Rattus norvegicus: one gene and its partners. The main gene of each other region encodes a partner of the protein of the gene in region 3 in a complex. Links are inferred from orthologs where the notes say so. Each region holds a gene or a part of one and is shown on either strand. Other genes may lie near its edges.

Region 1 (4,353 bases), on a different chromosome or scaffold from region 3:
GTTGAGATCTTGTCATCAAACATAAACGACAACCAAAAGCAAACCTCTTCAGAGGAGTGCAGTTCTGTAAACACAGGTTAGGATGTAACATCAACGACCCATACCGTCCAACCTTGTTTGTGTAAACTGAATGTCGTGGCTATACCCGGCACTGTGAAAGCTACAGCAACCAGACTGATACTGGGCAGAACTCTGATGTGAAGGCAGAGAATGCCAGGCAACCTGCCTCAAACTAGAATCAAGCAATAACGTGTGAGGTGCACCCTGAATGGGATTCTAAGTGGAAAACTCTACTAACTGCAAGCCATAGACAATCAAGAGGAAAGCACAATCCCGAGACTGGCAGCTTTCAGGACGGTAGTGAGCAAGAAGGAATGAAGTATATGTGTGCCAGGGACAGAGAAGAGTTAAATGCCTTCCCCAAGATCCAGCCAGGACACACACATGCATACATGCAACAGAGAAAAATCAAAGGTCCAAGTCAGAGGGCAGGGGCCCTGGCATTTGCCAGGCAGAGAGCAGCAAGAGCTTGGAAACTCAGGAGTAAGTAAGCAACAAAGGAAACATGTCTGTGAGGCAGCGACTTGCAGGTACATAGCAAAGCCAAGGACAGCAGCTTGAGGGAAGCCAGCACCTACCAAGGGCTAGTCCCCAACCAAGTCAGGGGGTTGTTTTCATCTAGCTCTGCTGGTCATGGGTGGTGCTGTCAGATCCCCTGGATAAGAATGAGGATCAAAGTATGTAGTGGGATCATCCAATTGGAGAGAATTTGTTGTGGAGTCTGTTGCCATGGTTCTAGAAGGGATGAGACTGGGAGGTGAGTCTTGCCCTCAGGGTGGCAGGCCAGGGAAGGATATTGTCAGCAGCTAAGAGTGCCACTCAAGGTTCCTGTTGAACTGCCCCTCTTGCAAATCCCTTTGATAAAAGGTGTAAGGCCCTTTTAGTTAATGTCTGGTCTACTTTGCTGGAATTCTGTAAGTTCTCTTTCCATTCAACTGCCAGGCAAAAAGCAAAAGGACAAAAAGACACTATTGCCAGCAAAAGAAGTAGAAGGGCAGGAAGGTCTAGAATTCAAGGCCAGCCTTTGCTGTAAAGTGAGTCTGAGGCAAGTTTGGGCTCCCCAAGACCTTGTCTACAAGAAAAAGAGAGTGGACACCCCTCTCCCTTCAAGTCCTGTCACTCTCATGTTATTTTACTAAGATTTCCTCTTTCTCCTTCTTTCAGCTGTTCTTGCAGAAGAACAATTGCCAAGGGCCCCTTTCCAAGCATTTCTCTTCCCCCATATCTCAGTTTTCAACTATCCCCTCTTGCTGTGCAAGGCCCCATTCTCTAGGTTCCCAGGCCCCTAGAGGGTGATAACTTCGAAAAGGAGGCTAACACTCTTTGGTGAGAGCATTGGGTGACATCATATCCTCATATAGGAAATCAGTTCTGTCTGCAGCCTGCTAAGGTTTTCTCACCCTCCACTCCTCCCCCCAACTCCCTCCCTGTTCCTGGGCCCCTCCCCTAGAGCCCTAGCTTGACCTAAGGTGCTGGTGGGACGCACACCATGGCCTCACGGGTGATCTGCTTTCTGTCGCTGAACCTGCTACTGCTGGGTGAGTTGATGATCCTGGTGGAGGGGGGCTGGAGCACATCAAGGGTTCGGGACGCCTGACTCAGCCTTCTTACCTGGCACCTGCAGATGTTATCACTAGGCTCCAGGTTTCCGGACAGTTACAGTTGTCACCAAAGAAAGTGGACGCTGAAATTGGCCAGGAGGTGAAGCTAACATGCGAAGTGCTGCGGGACACTTCGCAAGGATGCTCTTGGCTCTTCCGGAACTCCAGCTCCGAACTCCTCCAGCCCACCTTCATCATCTATGTATCTTCATCCCGGAGCAAGCTGAACGATATACTGGATCCGAATCTGTTCTCTGCCCGGAAGGAAAACAACAAATACATCCTCACCCTGAGCAAGTTCAGCACTAAAAACCAAGGCTACTATTTCTGCTCAATCACCAGCAACTCGGTGATGTACTTCAGTCCTCTGGTGCCGGTGTTTCAGAAAGGTTTGGGAGCGGAGGTCCCTTCCCCTGGGTTTTAAGGGTTACATCTGAACAGATTTCACACTTAGATTCCCTCTTCTTAAATCTCTTGGGGTCCCTTGGCGGCTACACTAGCCCCATTTTACAGACCAGAAAACTGAGGCTGAGGTGCTGGATGGGATTGGAAGTAACTTTTAACGCCCTGGATCTGGAATGGAGTCAGGATTCATGTGTAATCCTGCCCCTCTTGGCTCCAGGATAGAGTTCTGGTATTGACTCCAGCTTTCGGTTGATGGAGGGCCGCAGCCGCTAAGCTGCTGGATCTGGTCTAGGCGCATTGGCCCCAAATCACACTTGGTTCCGCGTGTGCGAGCGTATCCAGGAGTCCCTTCTTCCGGTAGTTAAAGCCAGAAAAAGGCTCCTTCTTGAGTAAAGGATAAGCGGAAAGCGGCTTGGGCATCCACAACTCCAGCCTGACCCGCAGGCACCCTGTTGCTTTTGCAGTGAACTCTATTATCACCAAGCCGGTGACGCGAGCTCCCACACCAGTGCCTCCTCCTACAGGGACACCCCGGCCCCTACGACCAGAAGCTTGCCGACCCGGGGCGAGTGGCTCAGGTTAGGTGACCTCAAGGTCAGCGATTGGGGTGGGCAGATAGCCTGGGAAGTTACTTGTGGAGGAAAAATCTGATCTTAGAGAGAGACCTGGACCCGGAGAAGTACTGGGAGCAGGGTTGGGGCTGTCGCAGCCGGTTTCTAAATTCCATTCACTTGGATCTTGTCAGTGGAGGGAATGGGATTGGGCTTCGCCTGCGATATTTACATCTGGGCACCCTTGGCCGGAATCTGCGCGGTTCTTCTGCTGTCCCTGGTCATCACTCTCATCTGCTGCCACAGTAAGTTCTGGGGAGTCCCCGCTTGGAGGAGATTGCTTTGTGCTCCGGGAGGAGTCAGTGCTTTGGTCGGGCTCCAGACAGCCCTTGAGGGAGATTAAGTTTAGGTTGGGGCGGGGGTGGGGAGGGGGAAGGGGCGACCAGGGGAGGGGGTGGGCGCTGCTCCAGCCGACCCGTAGGACCGGTGCAGTGGATTCTTTCTTGAAGGCAGGAAACAGGTAGGCCACCCCGCTGCTCTTTCCACCCTCTGGGAACTTATCGGAACAGAACCCTTTTCCGGGACCTCCAGGAGCTGATGAAGCAGAAGCTAGCACAGCCAAGATAATTTAAGCACACTAGGGAGGGAGCCTATGTAGTCCTGAGACCCGGGTCCAAGAAGGCTGAGTCCCACCTCACAAACCGCTCACTCCTCTGAGTCTATACAGGTGATTACACCAGCCAGGTCTACAGATTCCCAGATCCACTCACGTCTGCACTTACAATGCCTCTTCCTCACCAAGGAAGGGTTTCATTTCATGTTGTCTAGGCTAGCCAAAAACTAGTAGGTAGCTTAGGCTAACCCCAAACTTCTGATCTGATCCTTCTGCCTCCCTCCATTTGGGAGTGCTGGATGACAGGCATAGGCCACCAAACCAAATTTAAAATGTTTTATTTTATTTATGTATTTATAAAGGTCTATATAAGTACACTGTAGCTGTTTTCAGACACACCAGAAGAGGGCATCAGATCTCATTACAGATGGTTGGGAACCACCATGTGGTTGCTGGTATTTGAACTCAGTACCTCTGGAAGAGAAGTCAGAGCTCTTAACTGCTGAGCCATCTCTCCAGCCCTTATTTATACATTTATGTATTTATGTATGTATGTATTTATTTATTTTTAGAGATAGGGTTTCTCTGTGTAGCCCTGGCTGTCTGGGAGCTTGCTCTCTAGACCAGGCTGCCCTTGAACTCACAGAGATCCACCAGCCTCTGCCTCCCAAGTGATGGGAGTGACTACAGGAAAGAGTAGGCAACATAGTGTTCACTCCAAGTCTGAAGAATTCTGAGCCTCAAAGATCTGGAGAAGAGGAAGCTATTAAAACAGTATCTGGAGACAGCTAGAGGGTATTCACTCTCCCTTCTTCCTTGTCTAGGGAACCGAAGGCGTGTTTGCAAATGTCCCAGGTGAGTAAAGTCTCTGAACTGAAGTTCTGCTCACCCTGGGCAGCTGTGGGACCAGTGGCATGGCTGGTGGTTTGGGACTCCTTCCCAGCGGGAGGTCATACCAGTGAAGTCCTGGTGGCAGGGGACTAGGAGTCAGCCAGTACCTGAACAAGGAGCAGCAGAATGCTGGTGAGGTATTGGAATTCATTCCAGAGAAAAGGAAGGAGCACAGAAGGTCTCAGCGGGAGAGCAGCGGGAGATTGTGTTGCTTGGGGTGGACAGAGAGTAG
Region 2 (4,363 bases), on a different chromosome or scaffold from region 3:
TTCTTCCTCTTCTTTCCCCTCCTCAGACACCATAAAAATCTCTGGTTCCTTCTACCCTGTAAACAAGCTGCCTAGCTTCCGGCAGGCCAGTAGCAAGTCTTCCAGGAGCTTTGATCTGACAGGAAGCTGCAGAATATAGGCTGGACCCGAGGGGATGATGTGAGAGGGATTGGCTGCAGAGAGGGTGCGGGGCAGGGGGGACGACACAGTGGACCAAGAAGGTGGACATGTTTTCTAGACAAACAAAACAAAACAAGACAACAACAAAAAACAAATAACAACAACAGCAAAAACCAACCACAGAGGCCTCGAGGGAAGACAGGAGCGAAGGAGAAAGAGACTCAGAAAAAGGTCAGCAAAGCCACAGCCACCTTTCACAGGATCCATTACCACACAAAAAGCACAGGGCCTGTCAGAAATGACAGGGGAGAGGCATAGAAATGAAGGGATTGTGGAAGGCAAGATGCATGCAGAGAACACAACACCAAAGGAACACAGAGAGAGACCACACAAGGGATGTTACCGAGTGACAATACATACCACACACCTTTCAAGATGCTTGGGGTTCCTGCCACCCTCACAGGGCCCCCAGAGATGGGAGAGGAGGGCACAGCTCCAGCACAGCCCCACCACAACGACAGCCTGTGGTCCTGAAGGCGTTTTCATCTTCTCCTCATGGTCCCCAGTCAGCCCACTCTAGCCCAGTTGTGGGCTGTGCCCCCTCACCACACACCCTTCCTCTGCTGACTAGCTTTGTATAAACTTCCTAGAGATGTGACCCTCTAAGCGACCCTTGTGGTTCAGTGGCTGCAACCTCTGCCACCCTCTCCTCTGCCTCAGATGCCCACGCGCAAAGGGTGGGTGGCAGTGGGTGGGGGGGTCTGTACCCCCTGCTGCTCTTGTCTCTGAAAGCACTGAACATGCACGCCCTACAGATGCTCGTATACACATCCTCCCCTCCATCATAACATTTCCCATCTCCATCCAAGGTATTTAACCCAACAAATGTTTACTACGTGTCTAAGACATGCCAGACATGGCCACCCAACTCCCAACCACTGCCTCTTCACCACTGTGGTCAAGAGCAAGACCCAAGGCCACTTCGAGCCTCTGCCTAGTATGGTTGATTGTGGGGGAAGATTTTGCACTTAGAGGCAGGCCTCTTCTATGAGGGCCTCCGGTTGAAAGGGAAAACTGGTTCTGAGTATCTGGCTCCTCAGGGGATCTTTCATTAGCGGGGCGGCCATTTTGTATCAACCTTCAGAATCTCAGATAGCACCAGAAATGGTCAGAACATGAAACAGCACTGGTCTCTGTCATCAGGTTCTCCCGGCCTTGCTTACGACATTAAATAAATAAAATAAATAAATAAAGTTCCCTACAAGACCAGGACATTCCTCTATTCCACTCAATAGAGTTTTTGAATTATCAAGACGGAACCTTTCTATTATGAAGAATCAGACTGAACCTCAGGAAACCACTCTCCGGGAACAAGTCTATGAACTGAAGGACATCATCCATGGGTACAACAGGACTTCAAGACCATGTGGCTGTAGGAGAGGAGAAAGGTCTGAGGGTCTGAAGTCAGGGGGCCAGAGTTGAACAGCTCACCCTGTCTTGAGAAATAGAGTTCTACCTTTTTTTTTTTTTTTTTTTTTTTTGGTTCTTTTTTTCGGAGCTGGGGACCGAACCCAGGGCCTTGCGCTTCCTAGGTAAGCGCTCTACCACTGAGCTAAATCCCCAGCCCCGAGTTCTACCTTATGCCCACTTTGTACCAAGACCACTGGGGTCTGTAGCCAAGACGAATTCTCTTAGAATTAATTATTCTAACGAGAGAGAGAGAGAGAGAGAGAGAGAGAGAGAGAGAGAGAGAGAGAGAGAGGAGAGTATCCCTTTACAGCAATTCATAGATAAGAGGTCAGTTTTAACATTTTCTGATAAATTACCTTCCCCATCTCCTAACTCAGGGTAACTAAAACAGAGTCAGTCCCCTTAGAACATTTCAAAAACCCTAAGTATCAGTCCAGATGTAGCAGCATGTGCCTCCATCCCAGCTACCAGGAAAGCTGAGGTAAAAGGATCACCTGAGCCCAGGATATTGAGACCAGCCCAGGCAACACAGTGAGACCTCAGAAACAAAACACAACAAACCAAGATCCTAAAAGTCCACAGAAGATAACAAGAGGTCCACAGCTCACGTGAACACAGAAGAAACTGAGCGAGGCCAAAAACGGACCATGTGGCTTGCATTGCTCTTAAGTGTATGATCCTTGGTGTTTTGCAAAGTAGTTTTTGTTTTTTGTTTTTTGTTTTTTGTTTTTTTTTTTTTTTAAATGGCATGTAGTCCACCTTTTTACTCTGCTTTTTATTTGTTTTTCTTGTGTTCACGGTTTCTTTTTTCATTTCTTAGTGTCTCCACCATTCTCAATATCTGTTCCTTCTTTCTGATTTTCTGTCCTTTGCTTAAATACTTCTGCATTTTCTCTCTCCCCGGCTTCACCCTTCCCACCGTCTCCCAGCTGCCTTTTCTAGCTCCCAGCCATCACCCCTCTGACTTTGCATTCTAGCTGGGGTGCGTCGAGGGGACACCTACTGCTCTGAGCACTAAACTATGCTTGGCGGGCAGTGACTGGCAAAGATGAGCAATGCTTACTGCCGAGCCTTTCGAACCTCATGATTCCAGTGGGAGGTCACTGTCCATGACCTGTTCTAAGAGGAGTATGGGAGAACTCCAGGCCACAACTGGGAACAGAGAACCGCATCCAGAACATTCCAGCACATCGGCTGCCCCTTCCAGCTCCTCGAAAGAACGAAGTTGAACACGTCCCTCTTACCTCTGGCCAGTCCTTCCTTCTTCGCTCTGCTTCTTGCACAGGTGTGTCTATAGGAGGGCTCGAGGCCTTGCAGACAGGTGCCTAGTGAAGAAGACAGTCTTGCTATGTCTTCACAGATGTTCGTAAATGAAAAGACAGGAAGCCTGGTGGCGAGGCTCCTCTACACAGCGGCGGACGTGAGCCAGCCCTCAGGAGTCCCTCCCTTCTACCCCCAGTTGTTGGGGAAGTTGACAAATTAAAAATGCCAAAGTCATTGGAAATAACCAAGCAGAATCAGGCTGCAGTTTGGAATGTCAATGCTGTTTGGGGAAGTAAAAAGGCTGGCACAGCCTGGTCGGGCTGGCCTGAGGAAAGGCTTAGGGGCACATAACTGTGACCCCAGCACTTAGGTGACTTAGGCCGAAGAATCACAAGCTCAAGGCCAGACTGGGCTGTTTATGTAGTAATGCCACATCAAAAAGAAAATAAAAAGTTGTAGGGGTTGGGGATTTAGCTCAGTGGTAGAGCGCTTGCCTAGCAAGCGGAAGGCCCTGGGTTCGGTCCCCAGCTCCGAAAAAAAAAAAGAAGAAGAAAAAAAAAAGTTGTCAAAAAATTTCATCAATGGAAAATTTAGATTTCATTGCCCAACCAATCCACTAAGTCAGCAGTTTAGAGATGTTCAGAGAGCCTAGAGGGAAACAGCAAGGGTCAACATGGCTCTGTGACAGCTAAAGGCATAGTGGTTTTCCCTTCCGCCATTGCTGAAGACCAAGTGGGTAGCATATGGCCAAGATGCTAAAAGCATGCATGATGAGAATCTTGTGTATCTCCTCTATGGAAAAGGCATGAAGAAGCCATTTAGACTGTATACCCCCCCTTACAGGAGAGTAGGGTCACTGTTTTTGGACAGGTAAGCAAACATGCTACACTTCCTTTAGTGACAATTTGAGAGCAGCTGTGGTGATCCCTCCGAGGGATTCTCATTACATACCCCTGAGCACATCTGTGCAATGTGGCTTCTTCCAGGGCTGTGATCAGCAGACCGTGTATCTGGCCTGCTGCGGCAGAGAGGCCTGGATCGAAATATGGACATCTGAGAAGACAGGAATGAATGGGGAGCATACTATTGCTAATATTCCCCATATTCTCCTCTAGCCCAGATCTCACCTAAACTCTGCAGGTACACGCCCACCTTCCTGCAGGACATCTCCACTCCACTCGGGTGTTTACCAGACTGTGGTGATTTGACTAAGAATTACCCTAATAGGTTCATCTATTTGAATGCTTAGTCACTAGAAAGCAGCACCATTTGAAAGGATTGGAAGGATTAAGAAGTGTGGCCTTATTGGAGGAAGTATTTCACTGAGGGAGGGCTTTAAGGTTTTAAAAGCCCATGTCAGGGGGACTGTAGAGATGGCTCAGTAGTTAAGAGCACTAACTGCTCTTCTAGAGATCCTGAGTTCAAATCCCAGCAACCACATGGTGGCTCACAACCATCTGTAATGGGATCTGATACCCTCTTCTGGTGTGTCTGAAGACAGCTACAGTGT
Region 3 (2,708 bases):
ACACAAGAAAGGGCATCAGATCCCATTACAGATGGTTGTGAGCCACCATGTGGTTGCTGGGAATTGAACTCAGGACCTCTGGAAGAGCAGTCAGTGCTCTTAACCGCTGAGCCATCTCTCCAGCCCAAGAATATTTTTTTTTTTTGGTTCTTTTTTTCGGAGCTGGGGACCGAACCCAGGGCCTTGTGCTTCCTAGGCAAGCGCTCTACCACTGAGCTAAATCCCCAACCCCAAGAATATTTTTTTAAAAGAAGTTTGCTGAGCGTGTTGGTACATCCTTTAATCCCAGAATTTGGGAGGCAGAGGCAGGCAAATCTTTTTTTTTTAACTGTTGTTTTTGATTTTTTTTTTTTTTTTCGGAGCTGGGGACTGAACCCAGGGCCTTGCACTTGCTAGGCAAGAGCTCTACCACTGAGCTAAATCCCCAACCCTGTTTTTGATTTCTTGAGACACTGTTTCTCTGTAGAATTCTGGCTGTCTTAGAACTCTGTAGACTAGGCTGGCCTCAAACTCACAAAGATTCTTTACCTCTGAGTGATGGCACTACTCCCATCTTGACCCCCTTTCTTTCTTTCTTTCTTTCTTTCTTTCTTTCTTTCTTTCTTTCTTCCTTCCTTTCTTTCTTAAGACTTACTTATGTATATGAGAACACTGTCTTCAGAAACACCAGAAGAGGGCATCAGATCCCATTACAGATGGTTGTGAGCCACCATGTGGTTGCTGGGATTTGAACTTAGGACCTGTGGAAGAGCAGTCAGTGCTCTTAAAGATTTATTTATTTATTTATTTATTTATTTATTTATTTATTTAATGTATACGAGTACACTGTAGCTGTCTTCAGACACACCAGATCTCATTACAGATGGTTGTGAGCCACCATGTGGTTGCTGGGAATTGAACTCAGGACCTCTGAAAGAGCAGTCAGGGCTCTTAACCACTGAGCAATCTCTCCAGCCCGAGCAGTCAGTGCTCTTAACCACTGAGCCATCTCTCTAGCACCTTGGATCCCATTTCTTAAAGGTTCTACAATCTCCCACTAATGCCGTGAATTGGGGCCAGGCTTACAGCACGTGGGGAGACATTCAACATCCAAGCTGTAGGCTGGGGTTGTAGCTCAATAATGGAGTGCCCATTTAATGTGTGTGAGGTCCTGTGTTCAATTCCAAGTACTATAGAAGTAGATGATAGATAGATAGATAGATAGATAGATAGATAGATAGATAGATAGACAGACAGACAGACAAGCAGATAGACAGACAGACAGAGCAAGCCAGCTGTGGTGGTACATTTCTTTAATCCTAGCATTGGGAGGCTGAGGCAGGGTCTCTATAAGTTTGAGGCCAGCCTGGTCTACAGAGTGAGTTCCAAGATAGCCAGAGCCACACAGAGAAACCCTGTCTCAAAAACAAACAAACAAACAAACAAACAACAACAGAAAAAAAAGAGAGAAAGAAAGAAAGAAAAGAGAAAAATCCAGTTTAGCATTAGCTTTGCTCTTAGGTTTCCAAAGCTTAGAGGCTGAGGTTCCGTCTGCCTTCCAGGAATGACCAACCCTGAAGTCATTCAGAACCTGGAAAAAGGCTACCGAATGGTGCGACCTGACAACTGCCCGGAAGAGCTGTACCACCTCATGATGCTGTGCTGGAAGGAGCGCCCAGAGGACAGGCCCACGTTTGACTACCTTCGGAGCGTTCTGGATGACTTCTTCACAGCCACAGAGGGCCAGTACCAGCCCCAGCCTTGAGGCCTTGCGGTCCCAAGATCCTCCCCTATCCCTCTGGAGTTCTTGTGCCCTATCCATGCGGCCTGTGCACACGTGGACTCCGACTCGGCACGTGAAGCCTGTGCGTGTGCCATACATAGCCGTTTTTGTCTCATACACACATCCGTAGTTATGTGGGTTCTACACATGTGCCTTATACCCATGGAACATGTGAGTCTAAGTCTTAGAGACCACCTAAGGTGTCTCTTTCCATTCCATTTTCTGAAACCACAGAGAGGAGAAGGCTTGTGATTGCTGCATGTGTCTGTCTACCACTGCCTTTCTGGGGGCCTCCAGGAAGGCCCTCCTTGTGGGCTGCCATCCAATCTAATGTCTCTGTGTGCTGTGCCTTGGTGGTACCACACACCAGGAGCTCAATAAAAGTCTGTTCAATTAAGGCTGTACAGTTTTCTACCGCACACTTCATTTCTTTGTGGCAGATAGTGGGGGGGTCGGATGAGAGAGACTGGGGTTGCTGGTGGACCACCTGGCCTAGGTTCTCTTGCTGTGATCGCTACAGGCTGTTTCTCCTGTAATGTAAGTGTGTCTCCACTGAACAAGGGAAGCACCATTACCATGTAAAACATGGTGTGAAGCCCTGGTGGTTGGGAGTCAACCCCCCGGAGACTGGGGAGTCCCTACACATACCATGCACACCACCGGAGTTAAACAAGAATAGTTTATTGAGTGCATACCATAATACTGGATGTCCAGGTCCTCAAGAGGGAAAAACATAATTGTGACACTAGTCTGCTCTCAGAGTAGACTTTTTATAGGAAAAAACCAGGTTCAAAAGTTTAAAGGGGGCTGGAGAGATGGCTCAGCGGTTAAGAGCACCCGACTACTCTTCTCGAGGTCCTGAGTTCAATTCCCAGCAACCACATGGTGGCTCACAACCATCTGTAAAGAGATCCGATGCCCTCTTCTGGTGTGTCTGAAGACAGCT

What was found.
Region 1: the proteins of Lck (region 3) and Cd8a are in contact, whole or in part, in an NMR structure (PDB 1Q69), measured with the Homo sapiens proteins. The link is inferred for Rattus norvegicus from reciprocal best matches to the Homo sapiens genes LCK and CD8A. Residues at the interface, in NP_001036236.1 of Homo sapiens: Cys20, Asn22, Cys23, Tyr25, Pro26, Ile27, Val28; in NP_001139345.1 of Homo sapiens: Arg212, Arg213, Val214, Cys215, Lys216, Cys217.
Region 2: the proteins of Lck (region 3) and Cd4 are in contact, whole or in part, in an NMR structure (PDB 1Q68), measured with the Homo sapiens proteins. The link is inferred for Rattus norvegicus from reciprocal best matches to the Homo sapiens genes LCK and CD4. Residues at the interface, in NP_001036236.1 of Homo sapiens: Glu15, Ile17, Val19, Cys20, Asn22, Cys23, Tyr25, Pro26, Ile27, Val28; in NP_000607.1 of Homo sapiens: Ala429, Arg431, Ile435, Leu438, Leu439, Lys443, Thr444, Cys445, Gln446, Cys447.

What each region holds. Positions count from the first base shown.
Region 1 is NC_086022.1:104,922,573-104,926,925, forward strand, and holds the start of Cd8a (T-cell surface glycoprotein CD8 alpha chain precursor), read left to right. Parts: upstream 1-1,543; 5' UTR 1,544-1,549; coding exon 1,550-1,598; intron 1,599-1,684; coding exon 1,685-2,050; intron 2,051-2,530; coding exon 2,531-2,644; intron 2,645-2,811; coding exon 2,812-2,922; intron 2,923-4,054; coding exon 4,055-4,085; intron 4,086-4,353. UniProt on the Homo sapiens protein: Integral membrane glycoprotein that plays an essential role in the immune response and serves multiple functions in responses against both external and internal offenses. In T-cells, functions primarily as a coreceptor for MHC class I molecule:peptide complex.
Region 2 is NC_086022.1:159,378,607-159,382,969, forward strand, and holds the start of Cd4 (T-cell surface glycoprotein CD4 precursor), read right to left. Parts: upstream 2,856-4,363; 5' UTR 2,835-2,855; intron 1-2,834. UniProt on the Homo sapiens protein: Integral membrane glycoprotein that plays an essential role in the immune response and serves multiple functions in responses against both external and internal offenses.
Region 3 is NC_086023.1:147,172,099-147,174,806, reverse strand, and holds the end of Lck (proto-oncogene tyrosine-protein kinase LCK), read left to right. Parts: intron 1-1,541; coding exon 1,542-1,744; 3' UTR 1,745-2,165; downstream 2,166-2,708. UniProt on the Homo sapiens protein: Non-receptor tyrosine-protein kinase that plays an essential role in the selection and maturation of developing T-cells in the thymus and in the function of mature T-cells. Plays a key role in T-cell antigen receptor (TCR)-linked signal transduction pathways.